4 linked regions of the Drosophila melanogaster genome follow. The protein of the gene in region 3 interacts with the protein of the main gene of each other region in a pairwise test. Each region holds a gene or a part of one and is shown on either strand. Other genes may lie near its edges. The genes, in order: CG6878, pie, Sod3 and PGRP-SA.

Region 1 (3,238 bases), on a different chromosome or scaffold from region 3:
CGTGATCACAAGTTGAGAATAAATCTGGACGTGACACTGCATAATCTGGCGTGCAACTACATCTCATTGGACGCAATGGATTCATCTGGCGACACACACTTGAGGGTGGACCACGACGTCTTTAAGCACCGGCTGGATCTCAATGGCGAGCCCCTCAAGGAGACGCCCATCAAGGAAATCGTTGCAGTTTCGCCGCCCAATAAGAATGTCACTTGCGGCAGTTGTTACGGAGCGGAGCACAATGCTACTCAGTAAGATAGTGAACAGCTTCTAAGTTCAACCATTAGTTCCACCTATTTTCGCTGACAAGATTTATCTAAGGAGATATCTGTATCTAGAGCTAATTATAGCAATGGCTTTCTAATCTCCCCCTTTTAATACCAACTACCATCCTATCTAGCTGCTGCAACACGTGCGAGGATGTTCTCGACGCCTACCGGCTGCGCAAATGGACCGTGGCCGTGGACAAGATCGAGCAATGTAAGGGCAAGTACAAACGCAGCGACGAGGACGCCTTCAAGGAGGGCTGTCGCATCCAGGGTCACCTGGAAGTGAATCGAATGGCCGGCAGCTTTCACTTTGCGCCCGGCAAGAGCTTCTCCATCCGCCAGTTCCACATCCATGACTTTCAGTTCAGCAATGTGAAGCTATCGCACACAATCAATCACCTATCGTTCGGCGAGAAGATAGAGTTCGCCAAGACGCATCCCTTGGATGGACTACGAGTCGACGTGGCTGGTGAGTAGTGAACACAAACACGGACTCGTAATTCTGTAACATCTCTATTGCAATAACTTAGCGTAATTTAAACAAGATTGGAGTAGGGCTTAAGGTTGTGGTTGTTTAGTAACTCTAGTCAAATGCCAGCAGGATCAGCAGCGAATCCCCGTGCCGATGGCCATAAAGGTGCCAAAGGTTCCGCCGCCCTGGACCATGGTCTTGCCCACGTTGTTGATCAGCTCCCGCCCGCGTAGTCCGTATCTAAAGTGTATTTCAATGTGGTTCGTTAGTTAGCCGGAGTAATTACATAATTGCCGGCCTCCACTTGCGTCACTTCTTTGGAGGAGCGCTAAGTGGAGCATCCGAGTGCAAAGTCCAACTAACCTGAGCGCCGAGAACCCGCCAAAGACCGCACCGCTGGCCATGCCCACGCAGAATCCGATGATGAAGCCCGTCTTCATCTTATCGAAGCACGTTGGTCCCTGCTGGGAAAATGAGCTCGTAGGCAGAGGCATGCCGCTAAGTCCGTGGTTTTCCTGGTTCACCGGCTCTATATGAGTTGATACCGCTGAGTAGCAAGCTCCGCTGCTCCGACGCACTTATGAATCTCGCAGAAGGTTCGTTTATTTTAGGAATATTCAAAATATTTCTATTTATTTCGGCACCGACTAGTCGAATAATTCGTAAACGTGTGAGTGTGAGCAGCTGAGTGATGGTGTGCGTGAGCTGTCAAATTATAGAAGGGTTGCCACTTTGTTTTTCGCTCGGCTTGCCTCGTTCTAGAGAAAGCCGATAGGGGGCGGTAGCTAAAAAGCGGGTGCTTTAAAATCAATTTATATTCTTTATTTATTAATATTATTAAAAAGCATACTTAAGACTGAAATAAAAAAAAACTAAGTTATTTAAGCACAGGCATCCATTTTAATTTATATTTTACTCCTCGAAGAATTTCTGGGAAACTTCGGAGGTCTGTTGTGTGGGGCATTTTCATTTTTTAAATTGGAAAAAATATACTCATTTGTTCGAATTGTGAAATACCTGTTTTTAGAAGCATGAAGTTTAATTCGTAATTACCTTACCAAATTAAATACATTTATCAACGACAAATGAAGTAAACTAGAAAATCTGCTCTCCTCTTTTTGCAGAAACCAAAAGTGAAATGTTCAATTACTATTTAAAAATTGTTCCCACATTATATATGCGAGGAAACAGCGACGGCGAGCCCATATACACGAATCAATTCTCCGTCACGCGATACCGAAAAGATCTTTCAGATCGCGAGCGCGGAATGCCGGGGATATTCTTCAGCTACGAGCTCTCGCCACTGATGGTGAAATATGCGGAGAGACACAGGTCAGTAAGCCACAAAGCTAATGGTTAATTTTACAAGTTTTATTGGTTGTGTTGTGTATTCCCAGCTCATTTGGCCACTTCGCCACGAATTGCTGTTCCATCATCGGAGGCGTGTTCACGGTGGCCGGCATTCTCGCCGTGCTGCTGAACAACTCGTGGGAGGCCATTCAACGGAAACTGGAAGTCGGCAAGCTCAGCTAACAACAATTCGAATCTCTTATGCAGCTTTACTACGCCTAACTCAATATACATTCGACAAATCTCCAAATAAAAGTGCTTAATTTTATAGAAAATAAGGATAGAGCTGTTCTCTTAAGTGGTCCGCTGTCCCACTGACATGAATCCGGATGTGTTTGAAAAGTATTTGGCATTGGCCTCCGTCTGCGAACGCTCCGCCGCCTGCGGATTCACAATCTCTAGACCTTGCAGTGGCGTAAAGGCCACACTGGATGCCGTTCCGGAGATTTGGCGTTTGACCGTGGTGTTGCCGCCGTACACCTGCTGTTTCTGCAGATTCTTGTGCAACGTTTTGCTAATGCGCACCTTGGTCTTCTCATCCACCTGGGGCAATCGGATGCGGCCGGTGCCAGTTTTGCCGATGGTGCCGCGTGAATAGCCCAGATCTCCTTGGTAGGCATCCTCTTCGATCTGAAAGAAAAGTTCAAAGATTAATACATAACCATTATATTTTTAAGCCAGAAACTTACGTCTCCGAAATTCATGCGGTTCGCTTGCTTGCGGAACTCTGTCAGCGCATATCGTTCCTTCATCTTGCGCACGCGTTTGCCTCCTCGCTTCTTCTTGCTTCCCTCGATGGGTTTGGGCAGCGGCTTTATGAACTTCACCGGCGGCGGCTCCTGCAGCTTGTCCAGCTTCTTTTCCACATCCTCCTTGAAGCGCAGTCCAATCTCCCCGTGGACACTCTCATGACAGGCATCAACACGAGCAGCCAGCACGGACTTGGCGGCCACCAAGCGAGCTGCCTTGCGTCGCAGATCTGGCGCAGTATCCTGCACAATCTGTGAGTAGTACACATAGCCAGTGTGCGGCAACATCTGCGTTTGTGAGAAGCCCGAGAGGGTTTTCTTTTGTGCACCCAACACCTGAACATTGCAGGCCGGCATTTTGGATAATTTGGAAAGGCCACCAGCAATGCCCAAGAGTT
Region 2 (4,861 bases), on a different chromosome or scaffold from region 3:
GTGCCGATTACTATCTTATTTTATGAATATTATTTAAGATTGGAGATACCTATGTCCCTGCAGCTCGTAAATGGTGCCACGTTTGCCACCAACATCCCAAACTAGCACGGACTGATCGCAAGCTCCGCTAAACAAGAGCTGAGGGCCTTCCACCCATTTGAGGCACCGGATTTCCGCTAAAAATTAACCAATTCGTATATAATTAGCTTACTAAATATCATTTGTAACTTGTTTACCCGAATGTCCATTGAAAGTGGTAATTAGTTGCACTCCCTGAACATCGCACCTTAGCATTGTTATCTGTCCAGCATGATCGCCCACAAAGGCATACTTGGCCAAAGCGTCGAACCTAAACGCAGATTATAATTAATTATATGTTGCTTATAGAATATTTCGCACAGTGCACACATTTATGCCAAAATTTTGTGTAGATAAAATGACTCAGTTGACACGTCATTAACAATAGAAGGTTCTCAAATTCTAAATGAATTCCATAGCCGTGAAGAATTGCAGTTTATTGCCGTGTCAAAGAAAGCAGTTTAATCCAATTAAATGACCCGCTTATCCCATATCCACTGTCGCACCCCCTTCCCCCTTTCACCATCCATTTATCATACTTACTGGAGAGCCGTGCATGGTGTCTCAAAGTTGTATCCGCCCACCCGTTTGCCGCTCTCCGTGCAATGATAGGCGAACTGCTTATCTTTGCCGGCGGAGAGTATCCACTTGTGGGTTTTCGAGAAGACCACGGCCATGACCCGCGCTTGATGGGACAAGTAATCCCGCAGGAAGGACAGGCGATTGCAGTCTTCGGATAGCGCGTACTGGGTGACCGTTCCGTTTTCCTGGCCGACGTACAGGTGCCGGGATTCCGAAACGTACTCGATGGCCGTGCAGCCGGAAGGCATATACTGGCAAATGCTAGGCCAATATTGACCAGAATCGCGTTTTAGCCAAACGCGAACGGTTCTATTGGGGAAAACATGAAAATGTCAGGCATACCATTTGTGTATATTTTTAATGGGCTACAGCTACGCACTTGTCATCGGAAACGCTAATTACGCCGTTTTCGCCCGGAATTAGGATCGCTGCGTTCACATCGTCGCTGCTGCCCTCCAGCTTACTCAGCAATTCCGGCTTTTTGGAGGTGTTAAAGCGATCATTGTTGGTCCGCTGAGCTGGTTTTATCTCGGCAGCCATATTATTTAAGGTGGATCCAGTCCGATGGTACGCCTACGCCCTATTTAACGCACTCGATGATAATGCGGTTATAAACAATCCGATTCTCGGACTGGGGAAGGTGAATGGAGATACGTGATTCACAATCAATTAACAAAACTGTGTTATTTTGTTTAACATTAAATATACTGAACTTTGTTGTTGGAAAGCTCGTCTAGATAGCGACGCCAAGTTTAGGAATGCTGCGGAATAGTGGAATCGATGAAATGAAAATAGAATCTTAATTGTTAGATATAGTTTTTGCGTATTATTGTATATTATTTTGCTATTAAAAATACTGAAGGTATTTCGTGTGATGTGTCGCAGCATTATGTATGCATATGCACGCACCACATTTTATAAACATACAAACGAGCATTTGAATCTTGAATCTCAGAAATCGCTTTATAAATGTATAGTCTTATGATTTTCATAATGGCATATCATATCTAATAAAACCTACGGACCACGCACAGTTATGTTTCCGGTTATCATGCTATTTAATTATTAATCACAAAATATTTGTTTATATTGTGTTAAGTTTTTAATACGTTAAAATTTATTATTACACATAAATAAATAATTTTATTATAAGTAGGGTTAACGCAAAATATAGCTAGTTAAGCAGATTAGATCATTGTGAGTGTTGCTCAGTGGAAACAGAGCTTTTCCAAAAATGTGCTTGGTGGAATTGAAGTATAATAAGGCGCTGTTGTATTTATTGTTTTTCAAAATCCTTGCCCGCCAATAGAGTAAAAAAGGAATGCAAAACATGTTGATAGTTTTAAAAATTATTCATAATAGCACTCAAACGAGTTGATCTGTCCAGCAAAACTAGTCTGAGCGGCCAGCTTACAAATGGAAGATAACAAGGAGCTGCAATGCTTAATATGCAAATATTCGGACACTGACGACCTGGTCTTTGGCGAATGGATGATTGTACGCAATTTGCAGGTGCACTATTTTTGCCTGGTAAGTGCGATTGTTGTGAAATGAAGAGAACTCCCGCTAATGTAAACTTCCTGATCCAATCCACCAGCTACTCTCAACGCATTTGCCGCAGCGCGGCGGAGATAGCAGTGGAATCCTGGGATTTCTGCTTCGCGATATCCGCGAGGAGGCAGCCGCCGCGGAGAAGAGGAAATGTTGGTACTGCAATAAGATTGGGGCCAGTTTGCAATGCGATCGTTGCCGGTCATTGTTTCACCTGAAGTGCGGCCTGGAGAATCGCGCCGTTTTCGAGTTCTGCGGCCAATACAAAAGCTACTGCTACAAATGCAGGCCGATGGATGACTACAAGCGACAGCTGCAGTCGAATCCGCCGAGGAACGCCACTTGCCCCATCTGCTTCAGTTCCATCTATAAGGTAGAGCTGCATTGCGTTGTGTACGGTGACTGCTGCCGCCTCGGATTCGCCCATAAGAAATGCATGCGTCAGTACGCTCTGACCTCCGGATATTACTTGCGTTGCATTTGGTGTCGTTCGGAACGTTTCAGGGATTCCATACGCCTGCAGTCGGTATTCGTGCCCGATCGCGATGCCACGTGGGAGAAGCAACGGAACGCCTATAGGGAGCTCCACGAGCGCAATCTGAAATGCGACCAGCCCAACTGCCTGTGCCCCAGTGGTAGAACTTATAATAGATTATCGTGGGTGATACTATGCTGCAGTTCTTGTGCCGCCACTTCGGCTCATCTTAAATGCTTGGTGGGCGCCCTGCGACTGCCGAAGAAGCGCGAGCGTACAGATTTCAAGTGCTCTATGTGCCTGGACGTGGAGAGGAGGATTGCTGAAGGACCGGCTCGCACAACAGAAGAAACCAATGCTGACGGCGACAACCAGGTGGATGGCTCTTTTTATGTGCAAAAATTGGGACCCGATGCTGCAACTCGATCCTTAACCCAGACTCCTGTTTTCTCCGAAGAAGACGAAAGCGAACGAAGTAGTAATATCACGGTTATATTCAGCCAACCGAAATCTAACGCAACAAGCGAGAGGTTATCCTTATCGCCGCCACAGGAGGAGATGATAGTGGAAATTCCTGATTCGCCAGAGGCGTCGCCAAAGACGTCCATCGATGAGAACCACTCGCCGCAGCCAATAGCAAGAAGGGACACATCCGACTCACCACAGCCAATAGCAGCAAGTGAGATCCCCGACTCACCGCAGCCAACAGCAGCAAGTGAGATCCCCGACTTACCGCAGACAACAGCAATAAACGTAAACCCTGAATTAACGCAGCAAACAGCATTAAACACGATTCCACACTCACCGCAGCCAGAAGCCAGCTTCTCAACGCAGCTAGTATCACAAACTTTCGATTGTCCACAGCCGCAGGAACAAGCTGTGGCGAAAGCTCCCAACTCACCGTCACTGCCGAAAGAGGATCCAAATACTTTACTTGTGCTAAAATCGGGCTTTCAATGCCCTGGCGAACCATTTTTCTACTTGGTTATCTACGAATTTGAGCACGGCACATGCATGGGTGAGTGCATTGGTACGTGTGTGCTGCGATTTAAAGAGGATGACCCGCGCATTCAGGACACCTCGCAGGCAGCTTTGGAACGCGTCAACATAACACCAGACGATGTATGGTGCCGCAGCGAGGACCGCGGCATCTTTGAGCATATCGAGAAGTTCCACGAATGGTACAGATCAGAGGGGTTCTCTTAAATATTGTTTAAAACAATTCTTAATGTTCTTAATGTTTTAAACAATTCTCTTGTGTGGGAATTAATTCGTCATAGAATTCTAGTCTCTTTATGCATATATTGTTTCGCATGATCATCCAAAAAAAAAAAAAAAACAAAAAAAAATTTCCTACCTCTGAAACCACTTTAAAAAGGTTTAATGATTGTTAAACTAGAGAAGCATGCAGTAAATAAATTGTGTTTTATGTTTTTGTATTTATAATTTAATTCTAACCTATTATTGGAGTACACATTGTTTCACTTCTCCATTGAAACCATATCTCGGCAAATAAAGAAGGCGGCTACCAGAGCTGCAGTTTGAGCCACTTCTGTACATCCTTTGGCCAATCTCTCCTCGATCTGAGCTAGCTTTACAATAAGCTTGTTCATGACCGACATAGGCAGCTCAACTGTTTGGAATACATATCAATAACTTGACTTGATGATAACTTGATAAAAACTTACGTCTCATAACAAACAAATGCAATTCTGTAATGATGTCTTCCAAAGCGAGACCTCTTGCGTACTTGGCACTTTCGACAGCTATGCAAAGAGAAGAAAGAATCATTAGTTTTGATCTTTCGCCATTTCAAATCGCATCATACTTTTGAAGGAGTCCTCCAAGCTACTGCCGGATAGCAAGGCCTTCAATATCTGTTCAATATCCTGCCTCAACGGATAGCCCACGCACATGTAGACGTTATCCTCGTTTACCGTATCAAATGCCATCACGGTACTCTGCAGGACGTTCAAGACCTTTCTCATATCACCTTTGGCCAGGGTCAGCAGTGCCCGCTTGCCGTCCTCAGTTATCTGAACGCTGATAGTTGATAGATTTTAGGTTAGTAATAAGCTATTTTATGCAGTTGAAAGACCTTACGCTTCGGCTTCGATGATTTTTTCCAGTCGCGGCATCATCTGATCCTGGGATAATGGAGCGAACCGAAAACGG
Region 3 (6,522 bases):
AATAATTAAAGACGCCCAGAAGTATGCCACAGTCTTTCGGATGATGTTAGTGTTGCGTGTCGGGAATTATGGCCCTAGGTTTTCTAGAATCCCACTGTTTGACCCATTCTCTGGCTGAGCCTATCTGGTCGAAGAAATCTAGAAAAAATAAAAGCAAAAACTGTTGCTTGACCATTAGTTGCGGCGGCTTGGAATCAAAATCCCTGGGAATTGGAGTTCTCTGAATGATTGGAGCACAAATATTTTCTGAAGGCTTCCGCAATTTAAAGCAAATTGTGGCTCTAAGCTGGAATTCAGCAAATCAAAGGCAACTAAATGTTATATGACCCATTCGCAGCCACATAAAGGTGTATGGGTAGGAAAAGCTTTGGTGACGTCGAAGTTCTATATATAGTTTTCCTACCAACTTTTTGAGTGTTCATTTATTTGGTAACCTATTTTAGGGAACAAACAGCTATTTGTCCTTAGAAATCAACATACAAAATTGAAGTTATATTTAATTCTCTTGATAACTTACTACTACTGTGATTTATGTGCAATTCTAACAGTCCATTGGAAACACTTTGTCTAATCTTTTTTATAAAATTAGAGCTAACCCTTATCTGTCGTTCATTTTCAGCAACTTTTGTTACTATCTAAGCACGTACAAATTGCAAGCACCCGAAATACAAATAACAAACTTTATTATCGATCAATTCAAACACTTTACAAGTAGCTTAGTTAGTTCCTTTGATTTCTCTATTTGGGTGGATAATGCTGGAGTATTATAATTACTGTTGGTAGTGGTGTGCGACTCATGGTTGTGTGGTTAGTGTGTAAGTAGGTATGCAGATCACTACGATGGCCAACAATCCCATGCCACATGCGTGCATTCGATCCGATCCGGGTGCATGTTTCGGATTAGTCAAGGCTGCGGGCCATGATGAGGGCCACGATGACGGTCAGGATGGAGAAGGAGTAGCGCAGGGCGCCGGCGCCACCATCGCGACATGGCCACTCGTCCACATCCGAGCTGCAATTAGAAGGTGGAACAGGCGAACGGTGTAGTCTCGCGATCTCACAGATACAATTGGTGCGACAACGGATACGGATAGGGGTATGGGTGCGGATATGGATATGGGTGTGGGTATGGCAAAGGATAGTGCTGGAGTGGATAGACAACATGATCTTGTGGCTCCCCATGGGGCACATAGTACAGTGGCTGATGGCGTGGTGTTGGTGGTGCAGGTGCAGGTACAGATGGGCCACTGGAAAACATACAATGTGAGTTTTTTGATTGAACCCTGGTTGGATCAGTAAAGTTCCGATTCCAGCGGCAGTTGTTATTCCAATATCCCCTTCTCTTCGCCGACCGACCGACCGACCGACCGACCGACCGACTAATGCTAATGATGTTAGTAAAAATGATAGGTAAAAAGGCTCTCTGTCATACCTACCCACTCGGAAAAGCAACCCCAGCAAAGCGCGAAAGTTTGTTTAGGCCATGAATATGAGGTGGTAGAACACAAGTGGTACAGAGTATGCTAATGTTTAGCTTAGATTTCGGTTAATTTTTGTTGATTTTATTACACACAAACACACACACGGCAAATCGAGTGAGTCAGTGAACTGAGACAATTAATTGAGGGAAATGTGTAAGCCAAACATGTAAGGGTGAGTGTGATTGTGGGTGGGGGAATTGGGAAAATTGGGAAAACATTTCATTAGTTACTACGCCTGGAGTTACACAACTACACATAAAGTATTCGAGCAGCATATTGATTTGGCTGACACGTTGGAAGGGATATTTACTTGATGCCAATAACACCACAGGCTGAAAGAAGGTTTAAAACAAATATTTTATTATTATTATTATTTTATTATTTTACACTGACTACTTACCAATGCGGCCGCCTGCATTGCCGGTCTTCTTGGAATCCGTGTGGTTGCCCAGACCGAGATCATCCTCCAATTCGTGGACAACAACTCCCCTGCCAATGATCCCCAGCTTGCCAGTTAAGGTGATCACCTGATCCGTGTATGTAACGTCGATAATGCCCGTGGAGTTGGCCTCCAGGTTGCCCAGATCGCCAACATGACGCACCTCGTGATCGGGGCCACCGTGATCAACCTGAGACATAAAAGTTATATTAGTGATTTAGACACCTAATCCTATAAAGAATCCCGCATCTACCTTATCGGGGTTATAGTGAGCACCCATGCTGATGCATCCATTGGTCAGATCTCCCTTCTCGTGAATGTGGAAGCCGTGCTTGCCCTCCTTCAATCCCTCCAGCTGGACGCGCACATGGACATTCTGGCCACAGTCGTTCTGCGTAAAGGTCACGTTGCCCTTGACCTGGGTATTATCCGATTGCACGGGTCCAATCAGATAGGCAATGGCTTGAATGGGCATATTGCGCTGCAAAGTAAGTTCAGTGTCCTAATTATAAGTGGATTTTCAAATTAACGAGATTATATATCTTACCGTCTGCGCAGCAGAGCAAATTGTGGCACAGAGTGCCAGGCTAACAACAAGATATTGCATCATTTTGAACTGCAAGGAAATCATAGTTAAATTAGACACGTGTACGACTCGGATAGCAAATGTTAGAAATGTTTAAATGTCTATAAATAAATAATTTTAAATTGAGTGGCACAAGCAGAGAAAATCCCACCAGGGATGATCTACTGGACATAGCTAAAAATGAACTAAATGATAATCCTGAAATTTCGATAATTGATATGGACTCAATATTAAAAACATCTTCCAAAACTATTTATATAATGCTTTATAGTAAAGCTTTAAATGATTTGGAACCAAATACTTTCAGTTTTGGGAAATGCTAGGAGGGTTTATGTCTTGTAATCTCAAATTCCGTGATGCCAACTCATCTCTGGCACTTGAATTCCAGCTCATCTCTGGCTTGGACGTCATCAGGTGTACATTCTCTTGATTCCATTTAAACGGACAGTTGTGTGCGGAATTGAAGCGCCTAGCCTCAATTTATGAAACGATTTGTGGGTCATATATGATGTGCGAACGGGTATTATTATTTATGTGTGTGAATAATGAGCGATACCCAAACGAAACTAAATGCAAACAGCCTTTTTCACAGGGTTAAGTGCGGCTGCGGGAAGGTCAATCAACAATCTCTTTTTCGTACGCACTTCGCTTCCAAAGTTCCACAAATGAAATGGATGGGTGTCACACTTTATCGGGGCAATATTTGTTTATGGGTCCGGTTTCCTTACGGTCTTATCAATGTGTCTGCGATATGCTGGCGATCTTGCACGCTCGAGTTCTGAAACGATCTTCAAACGCGGTCAGTACCTGCTCTACACACGTATCCTTATCTGCACTTGGAATCGGTCCCATAATTTACGATTCTCACGCTCGTAGAGCGACTGAATTTCGGAACTAAAAATGCCATTGTCATTACGTATAAGTATTTTAATCTGTTTTTTGCCAGGTATTTACTTATTCTGGTTCAAACTGTCACGAAATGGGTCACAAATTGCAACTAATAGCCACTGCTTGTCCATCAAATAAGGTTTATTAGGGCTCTTGCTTGCTGATTAAATATGATTGATTTGAAAATAATAACTCAGTTTGAGTTTTACCGTGAAACGATATGCTAATGAAGATGCTTATCTGAACAATTTGATCGCAGGGCTCTCTTCGTGAATTTGCAAACAATACAGCCAAGATTACTTGATTTCACACACAGAGACTTCGCGTCTAATTTAAACGCCGAAGCTATGCAGTTTTGAGATAAGAACAAGCCATAATTTTACATATATGAAAAGATAGAATATCGTAAACACTTGTTCAACCAACTGTTCACGATTGGGAATTTAAATGTTTATTGAAGTTTTAAGCCGTGGAATGTGTGGATTGTAATGGATATGTACAATATTTTGTGTCTGGTCTGTGCTGCATTTTTGCCCACTCATTTTTCTGGATTAATAACTGGTTACCTTAACCCACTCAAGGGTGAGCGGACAGTGAATGAGAGAATCAAAAATCAGTGAAGTAAACTCCGTTTTTGCGGTAACTGGTTTCTTTTTGGTAACACGCAATTGTGGGTAATATATCTAAATCAGGTTCTAAAATGTAAGCAAACCAATAAATTATGAACAATTAACAATTACAATTAACTCAAGTAACTTCAACTTCAGCTTAACCTTCACCCAATATTCTCGATTACTAGCCCTTGATCTTCTTTTTTTTCGCGTCCGTTGCAAACTCACCTTGTTAGCAACTATTTTATAATTGGGTACTGATTGTTTTTTGCGAGAATTAAGCGATTGCACCTCTGTACCGTTGGAAACCTGCGACGGAACTGTTTCGAGCCTCTGGCATTGCCATCGCAAATCGACTCGCTGAGAGAACATTGGGGCAGATTTGGCGAGAGCAAGAAGACCGCAGAATTGAGAATTGAGAGCGCCACCAGGTGGAGCGGCGGATATTGCATTTGGCGGTCAGCACGATCGCGTAGGCGAGAGTTCCGCTCTCAGGTTTATCTCGGGCTTACTTCACCGCTCTATCGCTCTATCTCCCTCGTTGAGTTTTTTTTATCAACTGCAGATTGATCAGATTCTTTTGTCCAGCTCTGATGATATATTTATTATCCTATTAACGGCCTTTTTTTTAATTATATCCAAATTATAGCTATTAAGTAATTCTTTGAACTTACTAAAAGCGCAGCTGAAACACGCTAACGTGCTTTTCATTTGAATACCTTATCACTGTGGCGTCATAAAATATGTGCCAGGCTCGTGCCTACAATGGAGGTCGTAAATATTGGCATGCTTTCCAGATACGGCGAAGCAATTTGAAGAACTACTGCTACAAATTCTTTGAAAATGAGTTGCCAGGTAATAGCTTCTGATATGCCAACCGATGCCATGAAATTGTAGTTACATCACATTTATAGCAGGCCGGGATCGAATTTTTTAAATAAATAACGCATTTAAGTAGGTGAAAATATTCGTGTATTCACATTTGTAAATTGTGCTAATAAAATCATCGTACATACAAAAACTCTTAATTATTGATTCTCTCAATACTAAATGTTGATAGCCAAGCCCTACTTATACAAGATATAGAATGTAAGTACATACTACTGCTACTACATAATAAGAAACTTTCCACTTGGGAGCTGGTTAAAATTATATTGCCTACTGTAATTTTGCACATGTCCGCCTGTTTTTTGGGTTTAACCGCCGGTTAGGATCGGTCGAGGATTAAGCTACTTCGATTAACAATTAGTTTTGGTTGGATTGGGATCGGGTTTCTAGATGAGCTTGTGCCTGCCGAGGGAAGCCGTGTGCATGGGACTGCAGTTCTCGATGAGCATGGTCTGGCCCTCTCCAGTCGGTGATTCTCCACCTTTGTTGTTGTTGTTGTTGTTGTGGTGGACCCTCTTCATGGGCCGCTTTCGTTCGATATCCGCACAGGGGTGCAGCTCCACGGTCTGCAGACTTTGGGCTCGTTGCAGCGATAGCCGGAGGGGTTTCTTGGGCGGAGTGGGTCTAGTGGTACGCGTCTCAGTCGCAGGCTTCGATTCGTTTTCGCTATCGAAATCCAGGGATTTTACACTCCTCATATCGCTGGGCAGGCGGGCTCGAAGTGTGTTCGACTCACTTTGTCGGGGCGTGTCTCGGCGACGATCCAGTCTGGAATGGCGAAGAAGATCGGGGAGATTAGTCAGGAAAATTTAAATCTATGAAAAAGCCTGTCTTTGCTAGAACATCTACACAAGAATCTCGAAGAATCGCGAATAACCTACCCATTGTAATGATTCAGGTGCTCTACACTGCGTGCGTGCGTGCTCATGAGATGTTCGCGATGCAGTTGCTGCTGTTGCTGGAGAGGATCTCTGGGGCGTTCCCGGTGCTGGCGATCGCGATGGCGCTCCTTATCACGTCGATGGTGCTGCATATAGGCAGAATCGCTATTAATCGAGATCTTCGAGGCGGACAGCGATTTGGAGGGCATGGAGTACATGTGCGACAGACGATCTCTCAAATCGATGTGGGTATTCTCCTTGATCAGTGTTTTGGTTACATGTCCGGGAGGGGTTTGTGTCGAGGCCATGTCGTCACCCATCAGCTCGATGGGTTTGCCCCCCACCAAAGTGGTAATATAGTTGCCCCGCTGAAAGATCAACGGTTTCTCGGGCGGTGTTGATGGAGGTGATGATATGCTGATGCTGGTCACATGCTGAGATTGATTGGAGGATGTCTGCTGTGGATTTTGCTGTGGATTTTGCTGTGGATTTTGCTGTTGCTGCTGCTGCTGCTGCTGCTGTTGCGATGGATGATGCTCCTTGACTGTCTGCAGTTCTCGCACCTGCTCTTCCAGGTACGATATGCGATGCTGCAGCCTCATGTTGTTCTCCTTCTCCTGGTCTAGTTGCTTTTGTGGTATAGGTACGGACTTCTTGCGGAGTACAACCATCTGACACTTGCCAGAGTTTCCTACTTGCTTCTGCAGCTCTTCCTTGGATTTTCCGGTTACCAGTCGTCCGTTGATCT
Region 4 (4,208 bases), on a different chromosome or scaffold from region 3:
AGCAAATAGGTCTCTCATACAAAATTCAATACTGTTTGCAAAAGTAGCTTTAAACAAGTTGTATAAATTAGCCTACAGTTTCGTATTTGGTTTTGTGGTAAAGTAAACATTTTGAATTGTTTGCGTTAACCAGAAAAGCGAATTCGAAGCCATTTATATTTGCACAAATTGTTTCAAGTTGCAATTCTCGAACTGTATTCGATAATGCGAATCTATTTCTTTGCACAACCCACTGTATGAAATTGTTTACTAACTGGAAGACTCTTGTCACTCTTCTGCAAAGTACTTTCACATTTTTTTGAATATCCCTATTCTTATTTTGCCTAATGTTAGTATAAAGACCCTAGTTATTAAAAACAACAACAAAACAAGCCAACGTCAGACACTATTTGTAGCGTTTTCCATATACCCTTTAAATCCCTAATTAACCCGATCAGTTGTTTTCGCCTGCACACAAATGTTACTTATAAAGCATAAGAATGCAGGCACCCACCCATACACTACACTATATATTCATATATATTTTTACGTCCGACACATTTTTGTAAATTATGACAGAAAACAAAATAGAAAATTATAAAATAAAAACCACAAAAAAATACTCAACAACATTGGTTTATTTACTTTACTAAACTGATATGCTCATTCTGGCAGACTACTGCAATTACTTGTAGTTGATTTAGGGATTTGAGAGCCAGTGCGGCCACTCTTGGATCTCGTTGTATAGAGTCAGTCCGGGACTCTGGGTGCTGATCACCTGGGAGCCGGCGATCAGGGCGTAATCCTCGCTCAGCTCACCCTGCTGCACTCCGCAGGCCAGCAGATCTTTGGCCGCCTGGAGAGCCGCATCCGATGGAAGTTTATCTATCGGAGATGTTGGGCATGTAGTGCTCCACATAGCGGAGAATATCGATTTGCAACTTACCCACAAAGTTGCCGATAAAGGCTATGCCCGTGCCAATGGCATTGTATCCATAGGTGTGGGCACCGCGCAATCCCCAACCAGTGCCTTCGTATACGATACCATCGTTGCCGATCAGGAAGCTGAAAGAGATCATTATCATAATAGTTATCTTGATAATTGCGAAGGTGCCATCCGTACTTGTAACTAATATCGTTGAAGTCCAGCTCGTTCTGATGATACGCCTGCATGTTCTGGAGAATCTCGGCGCACTTGAGCAGTCCGCTGCACTCGCCGGTGACCGTGTGATGGATGACCACATAGCGGATGGGACGCACTTGGTAGTGGAGTCCCAACGAAGGCTTGCCGCCCCACTGACGCTTCAGCTTGATGGTGGGGCAATTGGCTGGCGAACGCTGACGCGACTTTCCGGCGGAGACGAATGCCAGCAGTAGTAGCACCAGCCCAATGGCCATAATCCAAGGAGATCCGAATCGAACCGGCTGCATGATGTTGATGTGCTAAGATCTAAGGCTGGATGAGAACTGCTCTCGATGGGCTATCTGCCGGATTTATCAGGGCCAACGATCCGAGCTTTCTGGAGCTTACGATCCCGCAGAGCCACAGGGGACTCCCGTCCATTAGCCATCTCCAGATCTTCCGATCCGTCGCAAATCTCCGCGTTCTTTGTTCGGTTCTTTTTGTTTTGCATCACATTTGCGAAGCGACAAGCAAAAAGCCCAAACAACAATTTAAAACGGGTTGAAAGCCGATCTCTGTGATGGAATTTCCGCTTTTCAGCTAGTGACGAATGCTTCCCTAGAAGCAGTAAGATTTGTGATATGTACACACGAATACTAACAGTTAAACTAAATTAATGATTAGCTGAAAGTCTCGCGAGAAGTTCACTGATAACAGCCGCAGAGAGCGTTAGATTTTTATTTTTTTGTTTGCAAATTGAGTAGTAAATATGTAAAAAAAAAGTATAAGTGTAGCAATATTACTCACGAATATATTGTGTATATTATCGTTCGAGCTTATAAATGAAAAGATATAGAAGGCTCGCATGCCGACATGTCGTTCATTAAATCAATTTATGGTTAATGAATTAAAAAAGAGGGCGAGGAAAAACGTATACTTCCCTTAAATAGAACGTAATGGCAATAGTTTTTGCCAAAAAACAAAAAATGAACAAACAATACATTTTGTAGGTCAATGAAATGCGTGTAAATGTTTAATACCGTCCGCTTTTCTTTACTAACTTCAATTTCCAAGGGTAAAAGTGTTAAATGCCAGCTAAAAAAAGGCAGTTTCAATAGTTTTTGCCAAAAAACAAAAAATGAACAAACAATACATTTTGTAGGTCAATGAAATGCGTGTAAATGTTTAATACCGTCCGCTTTTCTTTACTAACTTCAATTTCCAAGGGTAAAAGTGTTAAATGCCAGCTAAAAAAAGGCAGTTTCATTAGGATGAATAACTCGCGGGAAAAGTTAAAGATTCTTTTAAAAAGTAGATAATAATTGACCCCCATGCTATGAACTTGATTGCGATGTGTGTGGTGTCTATAAATTGTGAATTACTCATGGCATTTGCATTTGCATGTCTCTGCCTTAAGGTTTTCCACCGAAGGCGATCCGCATTGCAAATGCATTACGCTAACCACTGGATGCATTTTTTTATTCATTCATTCATTCTATTTTGGTTTCTGTTATTATTGGTGCTATTGATAAAAGCCGTTTGCCCGATAACTGCCACCCACTACAGGGCGGGGCAATCCGGCGTCATCTCCGCCGCACTAGCGTTACTCATCAGACTTACCGCTCAGTGTTTTACTGCTGCACTGCAAGAAAGACTATCTAATTTCGCGTTACTTCACCGAAAGTGATATTATGTTTATCAAAGTTTTTATGGCTTTGTAATTGATGATATAAACAAATGGTTATAGACATGGTATTGGATATCATTGGTAATAGATATGTTGTTTATAAATGGGGTTATCCATAAATAATGTACGAGCAGATCAATCAGATATTATTAATCATATAAATTCAGTGTGCATATATACTTTGTGGTACTAGATAGATTATGCATATCTTACATATTTATATAATAATTCTAATTCTAATATGAACACACACTAGTATTTCTTTTCAGTGCACTCTCTATCGCCCTCACCCACTTTTCTCACTCTCCACTTTCAGGTGGCGCTGAGTCAGAGAAAAAGTCCGAGGAGCTTCCACTAGCAAGTTTAATTCCTTTCTTTTTAATTGCCAATCCGTGGGCGGCCAATGAACAGTGTCAAGGGGGCGTGGCCGGGGGCCTAGTTGCACTTGAAGATTACAAATATTAAGGTTGGCCGCTCCGCTGCTTGGCTGCTCTGCCGCTCACTCGATGACATCATGACGTCAGGCGTCATTTATACCGCGCTAGCCAGCAGTCAAGTCAACTTGTTGGCGTTGTTGGCTGAATTGCCTTGCTGATACCCTGGATGAAAACGCATCCGGGTGGCATAGACCAGTCATTATTTCCAATGTTGTGGCCAAAAAACTAAATATTTTCTTCCTTTAAATCTGAAAACCGTCTTTTGGCCAAAAATACGATTTATGCAAAGGGTGTTTTTATCATAACTTGTCTAAAAATGGTCATAAACGCATAGGAATGACTGTTTTGTGCAGCTAATAACCCCTACTAACTATCCCTATCACTTTTTGATGGATTTTGAAAAATTAATTTTTGGGTCGATTTTTGCATATTCGGTATTCATCAAAATTTGCGAAAAATGGCAAAAAATTAAAAATCCAAATTTTAAACACAGTTTGATTAGAATTTTGAATACGAACTCAACGAGGTATGACAATCCATATTTGGATCATTATTTCCAATGTTGTGGCCAAAAAACTAAATATTTTCTTCCTTTAAATCTGGAAAACGTCTTTTGGCCAAAAATACGATATGTACAAAGGGTGTTTTCTTATAACTTATCTAAAAATGGTCATATAAGTACAAGAATGACTGTTTTGTGCAGCTAAAAACCACTACTAACTATCCCTATCACTTTTTGACGGATTTTGAAAAATTAATTTTTGGGTCGATTTTCGCATTTTCGGTAAGGGGTAACATCATCAAAATTTGCGAAAAATGGCAAAAAATTAAAAATCCAAATTTTAAACACAGTTTGATTAGAATTTTGAATACGAACTCAACGAGGTATGACAATCCATATTTGGATCATTATTTCCAATGTTGTGGCCAAAAAACTAAATATTTTCTTCCTTTAAATCTGGAAAACGACTTTCGGCCAAAA

What was found.
Region 1: the proteins of Sod3 (region 3) and CG6878 interact in a two-hybrid assay, tested with the Drosophila melanogaster proteins (one large-scale study listed by BioGRID).
Region 2: the proteins of Sod3 (region 3) and pie interact in a two-hybrid assay, tested with the Drosophila melanogaster proteins (one large-scale study listed by BioGRID).
Region 4: the proteins of Sod3 (region 3) and PGRP-SA interact in a two-hybrid assay, tested with the Drosophila melanogaster proteins (one large-scale study listed by BioGRID).

The regions. Positions count from the first base shown.
Region 1 is NT_037436.4:15,160,000-15,163,237, reverse strand, and holds CG6878 (uncharacterized protein), read right to left. Parts: upstream 1,422-3,238; 5' UTR 1,236-1,421; coding exon 1,105-1,235; intron 982-1,104; coding exon 873-981; 3' UTR 768-872; downstream 1-767. Other genes in the region: CG7011 (uncharacterized protein), read left to right, coding at 1-251, 401-738, 1,866-2,073, 2,139-2,274; Prp31 (Pre-mRNA processing factor 31), read right to left, coding at 2,386-2,721, 2,781-3,238.
Region 2 is NT_033779.5:10,419,859-10,424,719, reverse strand, and holds pie (pineapple eye), read left to right. Parts: upstream 1-1,939; 5' UTR 1,940-2,076; coding exon 2,077-2,190; intron 2,191-2,257; coding exon 2,258-3,892; 3' UTR 3,893-4,095; downstream 4,096-4,861. Other genes in the region: Wdfy2 (WD repeat and FYVE domain containing 2), read right to left, coding at 50-176, 237-349, 622-969, 1,040-1,200; RfC3 (replication factor C subunit 3), read right to left, coding at 4,168-4,319, 4,375-4,452, 4,515-4,729, 4,790-4,861. UniProt on the Drosophila melanogaster protein: Required for survival of imaginal disk cells possibly by regulation of cell apoptosis. Required for germline stem cell self-renewal through mediation of BMP signaling.
Region 3 is NT_033778.4:11,379,782-11,386,303, forward strand, and holds Sod3 (superoxide dismutase 3), read right to left. Parts: upstream 4,334-6,522; 5' UTR 4,234-4,333; intron 3,295-4,233; exon of another isoform or gene 3,151-3,294; intron 2,537-3,150; 5' UTR 2,531-2,536; coding exon 2,468-2,530; intron 2,402-2,467; coding exon 2,174-2,401; intron 2,111-2,173; coding exon 1,882-2,110; intron 1,814-1,881; coding exon 1,792-1,813; coding exon of another isoform or gene 1,788-1,791; exon of another isoform or gene 1,248-1,787; coding exon 1,058-1,247; 3' UTR 1,013-1,057; coding exon of another isoform or gene 901-1,012; 3' UTR 668-900; downstream 1-667. Other genes in the region: sprt (sprite), read right to left, coding at 5,280-5,661, 5,775-6,522. UniProt on the Drosophila melanogaster protein: Protects the extracellular space from the toxic effects of reactive oxygen intermediates by converting superoxide radicals into hydrogen peroxide and oxygen.
Region 4 is NC_004354.4:11,559,175-11,563,382, reverse strand, and holds PGRP-SA (peptidoglycan recognition protein SA), read right to left. Parts: upstream 1,741-4,208; 5' UTR 1,411-1,740; coding exon 1,103-1,410; intron 1,045-1,102; coding exon 926-1,044; intron 865-925; coding exon 680-864; 3' UTR 604-679; downstream 1-603. UniProt on the Drosophila melanogaster protein: Peptidoglycan-recognition protein that plays a key role in innate immunity by binding to peptidoglycans (PGN) of Gram-positive bacteria and activating the Toll pathway upstream of spz activating enzyme SPE.